2 linked regions of the Anolis sagrei genome follow. Each later gene encodes a partner of the first gene's protein in a complex. Links are inferred from orthologs where the notes say so. Each region holds a gene or a part of one and is shown in the gene's direction. Other genes may lie near its edges.

What was found.
Region 2: the proteins of YWHAG (region 1) and HDAC4 are in contact, whole or in part, in a crystal structure (PDB 3UZD), measured with the Homo sapiens proteins. The link is inferred for Anolis sagrei from reciprocal best matches to the Homo sapiens genes YWHAG and HDAC4. Residues at the interface, in NP_036611.2 of Homo sapiens: Asn43, Leu44, Ser46, Val47, Lys50, Asn51, Arg57, Phe122, Lys125, Arg132, Tyr133, Gly174, Leu177, Asn178, Val181, Glu185, Leu221, Ile222, Leu225, Asn229, Trp233; in NP_001365345.1 of Homo sapiens: Ser348, Pro349, Ser350, Leu351, Pro352, Asn353, Ile354, Leu356.

What each region holds. Positions count from the first base shown.
Region 1 is NC_090031.1:32,897,320-32,905,179, forward strand, and holds the start of YWHAG (14-3-3 protein gamma), read left to right. Parts: upstream 1-4,859; 5' UTR 4,860-5,156; coding exon 5,157-5,243; intron 5,244-7,860. UniProt on the Homo sapiens protein: Adapter protein implicated in the regulation of a large spectrum of both general and specialized signaling pathways. Binds to a large number of partners, usually by recognition of a phosphoserine or phosphothreonine motif.
Region 2 is NC_090021.1:159,870,228-159,878,003, forward strand, and holds the start of HDAC4 (histone deacetylase 4), read left to right. Parts: upstream 1-4,756; 5' UTR 4,757-4,926; intron 4,927-5,080; exon of another isoform or gene 5,081-5,101; intron 5,102-5,453; exon of another isoform or gene 5,454-5,601; intron 5,602-7,776. UniProt on the Homo sapiens protein: Responsible for the deacetylation of lysine residues on the N-terminal part of the core histones (H2A, H2B, H3 and H4).

The sequences.
Region 1 (7,860 bases):
GAGAGAACGGATAGCCGGAGTGTTAACTAAACCACGGGTTGAGCATGAGCCCACAGTGGCCAAAGAAGGCACCAACTAATCACTCCCGACAGATGACCATCCAGCCCCAGCTTTGGCCAAGGCCTTTTGAGGCTCTTCAACATCTTTCTTTCTTTCTTTCTTTCTTTCTTGATTATTATTATTATTTATTGTTTATTGTTTATTATTATTTATTAATATTTATTTATTTATTTATTTATTTATTATGGGTTCTTTCCATCCAATGGCTGCTCCTCTTTCCTTCCTCCTGGAGAGAGAACGGATAGCCGGAGTGTTAACTAAACCACGAGTTGAGCATGAGCCCACAGCGGCCAAAAAAGGCACAATCTAATCACTCCCGACAGATGGCCGCCCAGTCCCAGCTTTGTTCAAGGCCTTTCAGGGCTCTTCAACATCTTTATTTATTTATTTATTCATTCATTATCATTTATTTATTTATTATTTATTATTTATTATTTATTATTATTTATTATTATTATTTTATTATTTATTATGGGTTCTTTCCATCCAATGGCTGCTCCTCTTTCCTTCCTCCTGGAGAGAGAAGGGATAGTCGGGAGTGTTAACTAAACCATGGGTTGAGCATGAGCCCACAGTAGCCAAAGAAGGCACCAACTAATCACTCCCGACAGATGACCATCCAGCCCCAGCTTTGTCCAAGGCCTTTTGAGGCTCTTCAACATCTTTCTTTCTTTCTTTCTTTCTTTCTTTCTTTCTTTCTTATTTATTATTATTATTATTATTATGTTTTATTTATTTATTGTTTATTATTATTTATTATTTTTATTAATTAATTAATTATTATTTATTTATTATGGGTTCTTTCCGTCCAATGGCTGCTCCTTTTTCCTTCCTCCTGGAGAGAGAAATTATAGTCGGAGGGTTAACTAAACCATGGGTTGAGCATGAGCCCACAGTGGCCAAATAAGGCACCATCTAATCACTCCCGACAGATGGCCATCCAGCCCCAGCTTTGTCCTAGGCCTTTCGGGGCTCTTCAACATCTTTATTATTTATTTATATATATTATTTATTTATTATTTATTATTTAATAATAAATAATAGAAAGGAGGAAACCATGAAAATGAACAAAATCTGGCTACCAGTATTATTTATTTATTTATTTATTTATTATTATTATTTATTCATTAATAATACTGGCTACCAGTATTTAAAAAAAAAAACACTCTAAAATTAGAACAGCACGACAACAGAGAGGAAACAAACCAACAAGGACATCGAATCACCTCTCACCAAAAGATTGCTCCAGGCACTGCCAGGCCATCAAATGCTAATCAAGGTAGTCCATTGAAACATTCCCACCTAGTTCCAACAGACAAGTGTCCTTTGTCCCACCCTGGACATCATTCCACAGATATATAAACCCCTTTTTCCTCGTTCCAACAGACCTCACTACCTCTGAGGATGCTTGCCATAGATGCAGGCGAAACGTCAGGAGAAAATGCCTCTAGAACATGGCCATATAGCCCGGAAAAACCTACAACAACCCAGTGATTCCGGCCATGAAAGCCTTCGACAATTTATTTATTTATATTTATTTATTTATATTCATATTTATTTATTTATTATTTATTTATTATTTATTTATTATTTATTTATTATTTATTTATTATTTATTTATTATTTATTTATTATTTATTATTTATCTTTGGACGATGAGATCACATTGGACCATCTTCTTCTTTGAGGTTTTAAGCAGAGGTTTGGATGGACCATCTGTCAAGAGGGCTTTGATTGTGTCCTCCTGCATGGCAGAAAAGGGTTGGACTAGATGGCCTTTGGGGATCCCTTCCAATCCTACGCCTTTGCACATCCAAAATGACCGCAGATTGGAAAGGGTTGTACTAAATGGCCTTTGGGGATCCCTTCTGGACCTTTGAACGTCCAAATTTAAGATCTGGGCCATCCCTTTGAAACCCATTGGGATTGGATGGAGCAAAGACAAAGGGAAGAAGCCAAACAATGGGGCAATTTGGCAGATGTTTGGGCGGCAAGAAGACATCACAGCCGAGGAGAGGAAATAATAGTGGGGTCTGCCACCTGGACCCTTTGACGCCCATCGTCCTGGGTTAATTAATAATAAATACACTATTAATGAATGATTAATAACTAAATGCTCATCCACCGAGGCCAAAGGCGCGGTCGTAAACAAAAAGACCTGGAAAAGCCATTTGCTCACTACCTCTGAGGATGCTTGCCATAGATGCAGGCGAAACGTCAGGAGAGAATGCCTCTAGACCATGGCCCTATAGCCCATTTGCTCTATGCTTGAATTCCACCTCCACATTAAGGACTGTGTCTCCTCCTCTAGAGGCTTTGAAGCACAAGCTTGGGTGGCTATCTGTTGGGAGGGATCTGATGGTGCCTTCCTGCCTGGCAGAAGGGGACTGGACTGGATGGCCTTTAGAGGGACCCCTAGGATATTTTCATTAGGTGTATAGATTATTATTATTATCAGAGGGCTGGATGACCATCTGTCAGGACGGATGGTGTTTTTCTTGTGTTTTTCTTACATGGTGTTTTTCTTACATGGCAGGAATGGGGTTGGACTGGATGGCCTTTGGGATCCCTTCAACCTCTGAAATTCTGTGGTTTGTGTTTTTAACTGAGGCTGGATGGCCATCTGACAGGAGGGATTGAATGGTGCCTTATCTATCAATACGCATAATGATTTGGAAGGGACCCCTAGAATATTAGTATTATAATATTATAATACTAATTATAATCGAATATATAATATATTATAATATAACATTATAATACTAATTATAATGTAATATAATCCTGAATAGACTACTGCAACACACTCTACGTGGGGGTTGCCCTTGAAGACTGTTCGTATAATATAACATTATAATACTAATTATAATGTAATATAATCCTGAATAGACTACTGCAACACACTCTACGTGGGGGTTGCCCTTGAAGACTGTTCGGAAACTTCAACTGGTCCAGCGAGCGGCAGCCAGATTACTCACCAGAGCATCATACAGGGAGCACCCCACCCCCCTGTTGTGTCAGCTCCACTGGCTGTCGGTCCAGTTCCGAGCACAATTCAAGGTGCTGGTTTTGACCTACAAAACCCTATACGGTTCCGGTCCAGCGTACCTGTCCGAACGCATCTCCCTCTACGTCCCACCCCGGAGTTTGAGGTCATCTGGCTAGGCCCTGCTCTCAACTCCACCTCTATCACAAGTGAGGTTGGTGGAGACGAGGAGCAGGGCCTTCTCAGTGGTGGCCCCTCACCTGTGGATCTCACTCCTGGGGGAAATTAGGTCATCAACTTCCCTCCTCTCCTTCAGGAGGAAAGTAAAGACGTGGTTATGGGACCAGGCCTTTGGGCAATCTGACAACTAGATAAGGACAATCAGACAATTAGGACTGACAGGACTGACAAAGTGGAATTGGAAACTGGACTATGAGATGGCGAACGCTGACCGTTAATGAGGTGCAATTGGTTTTTAGTGGTTTTATCGGCTTATTAGTTTTATTGTTATATGCAGAACTGTTTCTTAACTGTTAATTGCTGCTAGATTGTTTTATACTACTGTTATGTGATGTCGGCATCGAATTGTGCCTTTGTAAGCCACCCTGAGTCTCCTCCGGGGTGAGAAGGGCGGGGTAGAAGTAACCGAAATAAATAAATAATAAATAAGTTTATTATATATTATCTTACAAAATTATAATACTAATTATAATATAATATAGTATTATAATATAATATATTATAACATAATATTATAATACTAATAATTATATCATCATCATCACTTTATTTCTTAATTAGTCGCTCTCTACCAAGGTGCTCCGAGCGACTTACAATTTAAAACAGTTTATACACAATATAAAACATTCAATATAAAATATATTATATAGAAGATATAATATGTTATAATATAACATAAATATAATGTAATATATTATAATATAATACTAATTATAACAGAATATATTATAATTTGGAATGTTAATATTATGTTATAATATTATGTATTATAATATAATTATAATATACTATATAATATAATACCAATTATAATAGTATATATAACATTATTATACTAATTAAAATGTAATATATTATATATTATACTATATTATAATATAATTATAATAGAATATATTATAAAATAATATTATAATTCTAATGTAATATATTATAATATATAATATATTACATTATAATTCTAATGTAATATATAAAATAATACTAATTATAATATATGTATTATAATATAATCATAATATTCTATATATGATACTAATTATAATATAATATATTATAATATAGTATTAAATATTAGATTAGAATATTATGTATTATAATATAACTATAATATATTAAAAATAATATAATACTAATAATTTACTATATTATATATTATAATATAGTATTAAAATATTATAATATTATGTATTATAATACAATATAATGGAAAGGGACTCCTAAGAGCCATCCAGTCCAAGCCCTGAATGAGTGTGTGGCTTGAGGACAAAAAGCAGCGCGCGTGGCTTGCTGGGAAATGTAGTCCCCTCCGCCGCGGCTTCAGCTCTGACCGCGTTACTATCATTCGGCAAGGGAACTCTATCTCCCGTCGTGCTTTGCGCGCGGGGAGAGGGCGGGAGCGTTTTAGAGAAGAGGAAAAGGAGGGCGTGGCTCTCCGGAGAGAAAGAGGCGGGGCTTCTGTTTGGCAGGAGGGCCGCGCAAGCGCAGAGGGGCGGGGGAAAAAGGAGGGAGAGAAAGGGGCGGGGCTTCTGTTTGGCAGGAATGCCGCGCATGCGCAGAGGCGCGCCGCCGCCTTCGCTGCGTCGCCTCTGCCGTCAGAGCAGTCGCGGCGCGAGCGGGGAAGGAGCCTTGTGCGCGCTCTCCGTCTCTCTCCCTCTCTTTCCCTCTCTGAAGCCCGGCCAGCCAATCAGATCGCTCGCTTGCTCTTTTTCTCCTCTCTCTCTCTCTCCTTCAGCCCGGTTGGTTTTGTGTTTCTCTCTCCGAGGCGACTCGGTCGGGCGAGAAATTTCCCCATCTTCTTGTCTTTTGAATAGATATATTTAAATTTTACTATTTCTATCTATTTTAAAAACAACCGCAATCCAGGAAGATGGTGGACCGTGAGCAGCTGGTGCAGAAAGCCCGGCTGGCCGAGCAGGCTGAGCGCTACGACGACATGGCGGCTGCCATGAAGAACGTGAGTGTTTGGCGCCCGCCCGCCTCCTTTTTCGCCCCCATTGATCTCTATTGGGGAATCGATATCTATTGGTTTCTGGGCTATTGATACCTATATATCTATTCATTTCAGGGCTATTCATAGAGGTTTTTGAGGTAAAGATAGATTAATCTCAGGGCTATTCATATATATTGATTTTTGAGGTAAATCTGTATTAATATCCCATAAATTAATATATATTTACCTCAAAAATCAATATTTCTGGGGTATTAATATATATTGATATCTGGAATAATATGTATTAATATTTATTCATATATATTGATGCCGGGGTATTAATATATATAAATTTCTGGTGTATTAATATATATAAATTTCTGGTGTATTAATATATATTGATTTCTGGTGTATTTATATATATTAATTTCAGGGCTACTCATATATATTGATTTCTGATGTATTAATATATATTAATTTTGGGGATATTAATATATATTGATTTCAGGGATAAATATATAATAATTTCTGGGGTATTAATATATATTAATTTCTGGGGTAAATATATATTAATCTCAGAACTATTCATATATATTGATTTTGAGGTATTAATATATATTGATATCTGGGGTAAATATAGATTAATTTCAGGGCTATTCATATATATTGATTTCTGGGGTATTAATATATAATAATTTCTGGGGTATTGATATATATTAATTTCTGGTATATTAATATATATTAATTTCAGGTGTATTAATATATATTAATTTCTGAGGTATTAATATAGATTAATTTCTGGGGTATTAATATATATATTGATATCTGGGGTAAATATGTATTAATTTTAGAACTATTCATATATATTGATTTTTGAGGTATTAATATATATTACTTTCAGGGCTATTCGTATATATTAATTTCTGGTGTATTAATATGTATTGATTTCTGGGGTATTAATATAGATTAATTTCTGGGGTATTAATATATATTTATTTCTGGGGTATTAATATATATTGATTTCAGGGCTATTCATATATATTAATTTCTGGGGTATTAATATATATTGATTTCTGAGGTATTAATATATATTGATTTCTGGGGTATTAATATATATATTGATATCTGGGGTAAATATATTTTAATTTCAGGGCTATTCATATATATTGATTTCTGGGGTACTAATATGTATACTAATTTATGTATATACTAATATATATTAATTTCGGGTTTATTAATATCTATTGATTCCTGGGGTATTAATGTATAGATTTCTAGGGTATTAATGTATAGATTTCTGGGGTATTAATATATAGATTTCCGGGGTATTAATAGCTTATTAATATATATACATACATATTATATATACATATATGCATAATTATCTATGCTCACACATATTTAGTGTACATAGATATACACATATGTGTAGGGTGGCCTAAAAGTCCCCATAAATGGGAAAAATTAGCAAACTCGTATATTATATCTATCTATTTCTAGCTATCTATCTATATGTGAGTATTTTGCAACTAAAGGTACATTTAGCTACAATTTCTCATTTGCCCCAATGTATTTTGGGTCATACTTATGCACCTTCACACACATAATATACATAAATGCACACACCTATATGTATATGTATCACATATATAATATGTATACTTATGCACATATATATTTATACACATATATATTTTATGTGTAATATATGCATATATATATATATATAGAGAGAGAGAGAGAGAGGTATATGCATATATAGATCCACATATCGGTGTTGGTCTGCACACATAGATGTATATATAGATACCCCCATATATAGAGAGAGAAGGGGAGTATACTCATATATAGATCCACATATAGTTGTTGGTTTGCACACACACACACACATGTATATATAGATACCCCCATATAGAGAGAGGGGGGTATATACATACATAGGTCCACATATAGGTGTTGGTCTGCACACATACATATGTATATATAGAAACGCCCATATATAGCGAGAGGGGTATACGCATATATAGATCCATATATAGGTGTTGGTCTGCACATACATGTGTACGTATAGATACAGACAAACACACACAGATCCACATATAGGTATCGGTCTGCACATACACATGTACATATAGATACACCCATACACACACACACACAGATCCACATATAGATGTTGGTCTGCACACACACACATATCTATATATAGATACCCCCATATATAGAGAGGGGGGCTATGCATATATAGGTCGACATATAGGTATTGGTCTGCACGCACACACATGCATATATAGATACCCCATATACATGTAGAGAGAGAGGTATACACATATATAGGTCCACACATAGGTGTGTGTCTGCTTGCACTACATATGCATATATGGATACCCTCGAACGTAACGCATAGAGACAAGAACAGAGGGGGGAAAAGGAGAGTTACAAATGGAAAAGAGTGATTTCCAAAGATGGGAAGGAGTGCAATTTAAATTAATATATAGCAAAAAGGGGAGGTTGTGCAAAAATCGAAGGATGGATTGAAAGACAGAATGTCCAGCCATTTTTCTTTTTTACTATTCCAGTACTACTCTTCCAATATGACACAAACTGGGCTGTTGTTATCATTTGTATTGCTTGGAAAGGA
Region 2 (7,776 bases), on another chromosome or scaffold:
CAAAAACCCGCCGCCTTGTTTTGGCGCTGGAGCTTGAGCACCTCAAAGATGTCATGAGCGAAACCATGAAAGGCCACCCAAGACGGGATGGTCATGACAGAGAGGTCAGACCAAGCACGATCCCTGGGGAAGACAATAGCAAACCTCCCCAGTATTCTTGCCAAGAAAACGAAATGGACCAGTACAACCAGAGATATGTTGGTATGCCATTGGATGATGGGACTCCCAGGTTGGAAGTTGGCCAAAATGCTACTGGGGAGGAGCAGAGGATAAGTTCAACTAGCCCCAGATGTGATGATGCAGATAGCTTAAAGCCGAAAGGAAGGCTAGTGGCCAACGGTGCTGGAGGTGAATGACGAATCCGATGCTCTAAAGAGCAACACACCAAATGAAAAAGGAAAGAGGGTCCGACCAAGGACAAGATGGATGGATGGCATCCTAGAAGTGACTGGATTGACCTTGAAGGAGCTGGGGGTGGTGATAGCCGACAGGGAGCTCTGGTGTGGGCTGATCCATGAGGTCACGAAGAGTCGGAAGCAACAAAATTTAGTTTCTAGAAGTAGGAGGTCTGGTTTTTCTAAGGATGTTTCAGGGTCACATTAAATTTGAAGAGAAAGTTGGGTAAATACTACATGCTACAAGTTACATATATCTATTACAGATAATTAATGTAATATAATATTATAACATATATGTATGCATGAAGATTATTGGCTTTTATATATACATTTGGTGGATATTTAAGTTGGAGAAGCAATATGTACAATATAAGTTTATTTATTTATTTATTGTGTCAGGGGCAGACCAAACAGTTGCATTGCATTTTTTTAACAAACAAAACAAACAAACAAAGCTTGTCAGTTTGCAAAGTTTGCAAGCTTAGTAGTTGATTAAATGTCCTTTGACCAGTAGCTGGCCACTTGGAGTGCCTCTGGTGTTGCTGCAAGAAGGTCCTCCATTGTGCATGTGGCATTCACTCAAGTTTAAGACATTTTCAACCGAAAATCCATGCAAACTATTCCTAACTAGAACTGTTTCCATCTAGATAACAGCAATAGTGCCATCAGCTACTTCTTCCCCACCCCCCCCCCCCATATCATATGCAAAAAAACAAAAAAAAAAAAAAACCCCAAAAAACCCCAATGTATTTTTTTTTTAGGAAATTCCTTACAAGGCAAGAAATATATCTTCATGATCAAGAGAGTTTCAGAGTATGTCCAAATACATCCTGATATCACATTAATAAAAAAAAAAACATAAGAATGGGAGCAGGCAACAAAGTACTCTCTTATGACTAGAGCTTTCTAACTATTTTACATACACAGGCATGGGCAACTGCAAAAACCCAATTTGTTTTTTTTTTTAAGATATTTTATTATGTTATACACACAGATCAATAAGCCAAATTCCAAGTGTTACACATATAAATCCTGAGTCATTCAACAAATATTAAAGACATTATGTTAATTTACTCTGGTGTATATTACATTATCTCCACCTTCCCTCCCTCTCCCTCCCTCTTTAACCACAGTATATTTCTACTAATCTTGCAGATCCAGCCACTGGTAGAGTCTTTGTATTTTTTTTTCTTTGATGTGATCGTTGGCTTCTCCATTTTTCACCCAGTTGAAGTAGACCTTCCATCTATTTGTAATGATCTTTTCTTTGTCCATTCTTGGTGTTTGCTTAGTCATAATTCCCGTAATATCTAACAGCACTTGGTCATACATATAATCATTCCAATTACTTAACGTCCATTTCGATTTGTCTTTCCATCCTCTAGCAATCACCGCATGGGCTGCTCTTATTGTTACCTTAAATAACTCCTGGCAATTAGTTATTATACTCGGATGATCCAACACTCCCCATAGTAGCAAATCATTATTAATTTGAATTTTTATCTGGAATATCTCCTGAATTTTTCCTTGTATCAAAAACCCAATTTGCATAAATTGAAAAATGTCCAAAATCATTTTGATTATGATTATGATTTTTGATTATGATTTATTTATTTTGAACATTTCTACCCTGTCCTTCTGTTATGCACTCATATGCACACATGCGGATCTACTTATATATATACTAAGATGTTCATATTTGTGCATATACATTCCAGTGAAAAACGGAGTGAATTTTTTAAAAACCTCTTCCATTGGATGTCCCTTGTACATCCTCCATCTTGGAGATATGATAGCTTTGTATAAATATGTCAGAGGAAGCCACAGGGAGGAGGGAGCAAGCTTGTTTTATGCTTCTCTGGAGACTAGGACAGGGAACAATGGCTTCAAACTACAAGAAAGGAGATTCCATCTGAACATGAGGAAGAACTTCCTGATTGTGAGAGCCGTTCAGCAGTGGAACTCTCTGCCCCGGAGTGTGGTGGACGCTCCTTCTTTGGAAGCTTTTAAACAGAGGCTGGATGGCCATCTGTCAGGGGTGATTTAATTGCAATATTCCTGCTTCTTGGCAGGTGGTTGGACTGGATGGCCCATGAGGTCTCTTCCAACTCTGTGATTCTATGATTCCATGATTGTTCCGATACAGAGGAAGGCTGTGAGGATGGCAAGGGACTCAATCCCGGGATTAACAGGTCTGTGTGGGGATCTGCAGTCTGGGATTTTTGTCATCATTTAAAATGCGGGTTTTGGCACTGTCTGGAAGCACTCTAAGAGACTGTAGCTGGACTGGAACGTTCCTGTCTTGAACCAGAAGAGAGTGAAAACAATACTTTGCAGTGGTCCCCTTTGGCACTCTTTTGTCACCCAGCAATCCACTTGGTAGAACCAGGAAACCAGCAGCTCTACAAGCAGTGTAATAACAAGCTGGCCATTGAGCTTTCTTGGCTAGGAAGAGCTTCCTATTTGGACTGAGTGCTTTAATGATGAACAGGAACAATCCTCCTGTTTTTCGGTGTATTCTTTAGTTCTGACTGCTGTTTGTTCCTTTGGTCAGGCTGCCGGGCACAAATCCCGATTCCTGGCATCCATCTGCCTGTTGCCTATGACCAAGTTCTGGCACTGCCACCCTGGCTGGCTTTCTGTTTCTGGCACATTTAAAAGAACATTTTCTTGTGTGCTTTAATGTTTTTGAGCAATATGTTCCTTGGATTTATTTATTTATTTATTTTGCTTGCCTTGTCATCAGTTTAGGATTATTATTTTTTTTTAAAAAAAACAATAACAGAATATCTTGTGGGAGTGGAAACATATTTTTGTTCTCCCAATTTTGGTAAGATGTCTATTGACTTTTGACAGGTTCTTTCAATATAATCACTCTTTGCTACAACTGAGAAAGCAACACAAAAAGAACTTTAATGTGGGCACCTGGCTTGATGACATTCTCCAGCTATATTGCTCTACCTGAATCATTCGCCATCACAGCTTTAAAACACTTTACATGCCATGTATTTGGCTTTTTAGATTTACAGGGATAGCTCAGGAAGTGCAAACAATGAAGTGATTCTATGGAACAAGTATATATGATCAGGTGAGAATAAGAGTAGAAGGGACAGAAGTCTAGAGAAGGTGGACAACTTGACCAGCTGGTGATTGAAGATGTGCTAGGTAGTTGACATCCTGCCTCACACACCCCGACCTCAGTCTAGTCTTACTGGAAGCCAGGTCAATTGTGAGCTCAGGAAACCTACTATTATCATGAATACTACAAGCAGAAAGAAGAGTAGTTTTCATCATGGTGCCCAGGATCTTTGGTGTGTCTGTCAGCATAGCTTACAAAAATAGCAGGTTCTGAAAGTACGGTATCACTTAGACAAATGGTGTTTGGCACGAGTGGCAGTTGGGCATGCTTCCAATACATGACCTAGTTGGCTGGTGAATTAGCCTGTTGAACCTAGAAGGCATAGAGCCGGGGTCCTCAAACTTTTTAAACAGAGGGCCAGGACACAGTCCCTCAAACTGTTGAAGGGCCGGATTATAATTTGAAAAACAACCCATGAATGAATTCCTATGTATTCCTGACTGTGAGAGCCGTTCAGCAGTGGAACTCTCTGCCCCGGAGTGTGGTGGAGGCTCCTTCTTTGGAAGCTTTTAAACAGAGGCTGGATGGCCATCTGTCAGGGGTGATTTGAATGCAATATTCCTGCTTCTTGGATATTTCAAGGTACACAACCTCGGCTTTGGATATGAAACATTCAATCCCCCTGAAGCTATGTAAACACGGTGTACAGAGAGGCATTTTCTGTGGCGACTTGGTTCCACCTCCATTTTTTTGGTCGTGTCAGGAGCGACTTGAGAAACTGCAAGTTGCTTCTGGTGTGAGAGAATTGGCCTTCTGCAAGACGTTGCCCAGGGGATGCCCGGATGATTTGATGTTTTTATCCTTGTGGGAGGCTTCTCTCATGTCCCCGCATGAAGAGCTGGAGCTGATAGAGGGAGCTCATCCGCCTCTCCCGGGAGACCTCCATGGTGGCTGCCTATGGCCTCCAGTTCTGTGTGTGAGAGAGGAAAGAGGGGAGGGCGACCCTCTTTGTTTGCTTGCCCCTTCTTGCCGGCGTGGGCTTTGAGATACATGGCAAGAGAGAGAGAGAGAGAGAGAGAGAGAGAGAAATCTGGCCGGAGACTCGCGAAGAGAGCCACGCCTCCCGCTTCCGAAATCAGCCGAAATCAACTCCACTTCCGGCGTCGGAGAAAGGAGGGGGAGAGCAAGGGAGGAGGGAAACGTTGCTATTAATAGCCCCGCTCTCTGATTGGCCCGCGGGAGCAAAATAGGGGGGAGGGAAAAAAAAAAGGAGGTTTGTACCACGTGACTTTCCATCTGAAAACTCCAAGATGGCGGGTCCCGTCACGGGCTGATTCCGTTGGCGGCGCGCGCACCGTTGTGCCAGCGCCGAGGGCTTGCCTGCCTGCTTGCTTTCCTCCCTTCCCCGCATTCTCTGCGGGTCTTGCCGTCTGAATGTCTCCGGCTGAGGTAAGTGCTTGGCCCGGAAAAAAAAACCCCGTTCTGAGGCCAGTTATTATTCTGCAGTCGTTATTCGCACTTCCCCTTTAAACAAAAAAGCGGGGGGAGAGATAGAGGGAAATTGTGTCCTCCGGCTTTTAAAGCAGCCTTAAAGGGTCCCTTTCTGTTTCGAAACGTGTGCCTGGTAAGACCCCAACCGCGGTGGGAGGGGATGCAAAGGAGGAAGAGCGCGCGGAGGGAGGGAGGGCAAGGAGGGGGAAGGGCAATAGAATGCCCAGGGCTGGAGTGTGTGGGGGTCGCGCGCGCGGGGAGGGGGGGTAGTAGGAAGGCGGCTGAGTGGCGCTTCGAAGCACCAATCAGGGCCCCGTTGGCCGCCTTGGCGGGTGCTTTTGAGCCCATGTTCTCGGATGCCCCGGCGTTGGGTGAAGAGGCGGGGTGAGGGTAGGGGCGGGCCTTGAGCCCTTGACTGACACCTGCTCCGACCTATCGGAGGGGAGCCGCCCTTTCGGCGGAGAGCGCCGCTGTATTTACCCCTTCGCTGGGAACCCATCCCTCCCTCCCTCCTTCCTTCCTTGCCTCGCGCGCTGGCTCCGTTTTATGAATGAGGCGGGTGGGTCCCGGAGCCGCGCCCGTCTCGCCTCCCAAGCAAGCCCCTCCCTCTTCCTCGCCTTCTGGGCCGAAGGGGTGAGTAGAGCGTGCGCTTCAGGGAAGGAGGGAGATGCGGTGGAGCCGAGGGCGAGGCTGGGCGGTGTCCCGGCTGCCAAGAGGAGGGAGGAGAGGAAAGGAGAGGAGAGGAAGGCCGCTCGCCTTTTCGCCTGCCTCAGGGCACGATTTCAGTCAGGCAGTCGGTCAGTCAGTCATCCTCCTGCGGTGTAATGGCTGGGATATTGACAGAGGAAGAAGAGCAGGCCGGGCCTTCTGAATGGAGCGCTTTGACTCCTGGGAAAATGGCCCTGGCAAAGAACAGCCTCGGTGCGGTCCTTTCCAGGCTGTGGTACCCGAAGCTTTTGTCTGGGCAGCTCTGCTGATAGATAAGCAGGAGCAGGCCCTCTCTCTCTTGTTTGAAGCAGGAGCGATCAGGCCTCTCCTAGGATTTAAGGCTCTTTGCTGAGTCCACCCCACAGGGTTGTAGGCAAAATGGAAAGAGGAAGCCAAACGGAACCTCCAGGAAAAAGGATGGGGAAACAACCGTCTGCCAATGTGCATGTCTCATGTGCTCTTTCTGTGGGCCCTTCCGCACAGGCATATAACTCAGTATATCAATCAATCAAATCATTGATTGATTGCAGGTGAAACGTCACGAGAAATGCCTCTAGAACATGGCCATATAGCCCGAAAAAACCCACAAGAACTGAATCAAATCATTTATTTCGGTCATTGACCAGCACAGGAAATAGAGTCACATTTTCATACAAACTTGGTATGTTTGGTACATTAAAAATATAAATATAACTACTAAAGCACAATATGGGTGAGGGAGCAGAAGGGGAAACAGGTTAAAAACATACAATGCCCAGATCCATCACCAAATTGCAGATTCAGGGAAGAAGATTACTGGACACACAGTTGACTTTGGGACTAGTCATTCCCTGGCAAATTTTTTATGCTGCTGCACAGAACTTTGCAACATTGTAGGTTGTAGCTGAATTAGTATCTGCAAGTAGCATGGAGGTATAAAATTGTCCTGAATGGCCTGGGTGCTTGTATATCAGAGGTAAGATAAGCCTGGCACGGATATCCCTGTAGAACGGGCTCCCTCAGTATATCATAGAACAGTCTTTCTCAACCTGGGGGTCGTGTCAGGAGGGACTTATTTATTTATCGTGTTATTAGCAACCATACCATTGTATTACATTTTTGACAGAACAAAACAAACAAACAGATTTTTAAAAAACACAGATTTTGCAAACTTGGTAGTTGATTAAATGTCCTTTGACCAGTATCTGGCCACTTGGAGTGCCTCTGGTGTTGCCGCAAGAAGGTCCTCCATTGTGTGTGTGGCAGGGCTCAGGGTGCATTGCAGCAGGTGGTCAGTGGTTTGTTCTTCTCCACACTCGCATGCCGTGGATTCCACTTTGTGGCCCCATTTCTTGAGGTTGGCTCTGCATCTCGTGGTGCCAGAGCGCAGTCTGTTCAGCGCCTTCCAAGTCGCCCAGTCTTCTGAGTGCCCAGGGGGGAGTCTCTCATCTGGTATCACCCATGAATTGAGGTGCTGGGTTTGGGCCTGCCACTTTTGGACTCTCGCTTGCTGGGGTGTTCCAGCAAGTGTCTCTGTAGATCTAGGAAAACTATGTCTTGATTTAAGTCGTTGACGTGCTGGCTGATACCCAAACAGGGGATGAGCTGGAGATGTTTCTGCCTTGGTCCTTTCACTATTGTCTGCTACTTCCCGGCGGATGTCAGGTGGTGCAATACCAGCTAAGCAGTGTAATTTCTCCAGTGGTGTGGGGCGCAGACACCCTGTGATAATGTTCAGGCAGTGCTTCTTGTAGGTCAGAGCACGGTCCAGAGTGACTCCCGGGTATTTGGGTGTGCTGCAATGCTCCAGTGGGATTCCTTCCCAGGTAATCCTCAGAGCACGGGATGCTTGTCTGTTCTTAAGGTGAAAGGCGCATGTCATGGGTCATCCAGTCCAACCCCCTGCCAAGAAGCAGGAATATTGCATTCAAAGCACCCCTGACAGATGACCATCCAGCCTCTGTTTAAAAACTTCCAAAGAAGGAGCCTCCACCACACTCTGGGGCAGAGAGTTCCACTACTGAACGGCTCTCACAGTCAGGAAGTTCTTCCTCATGTACAGATGGAATCTCCTCTCTTGTAGTTTGAAGCCATTGTTTCATGACCTAGTCTCCAGGGCAG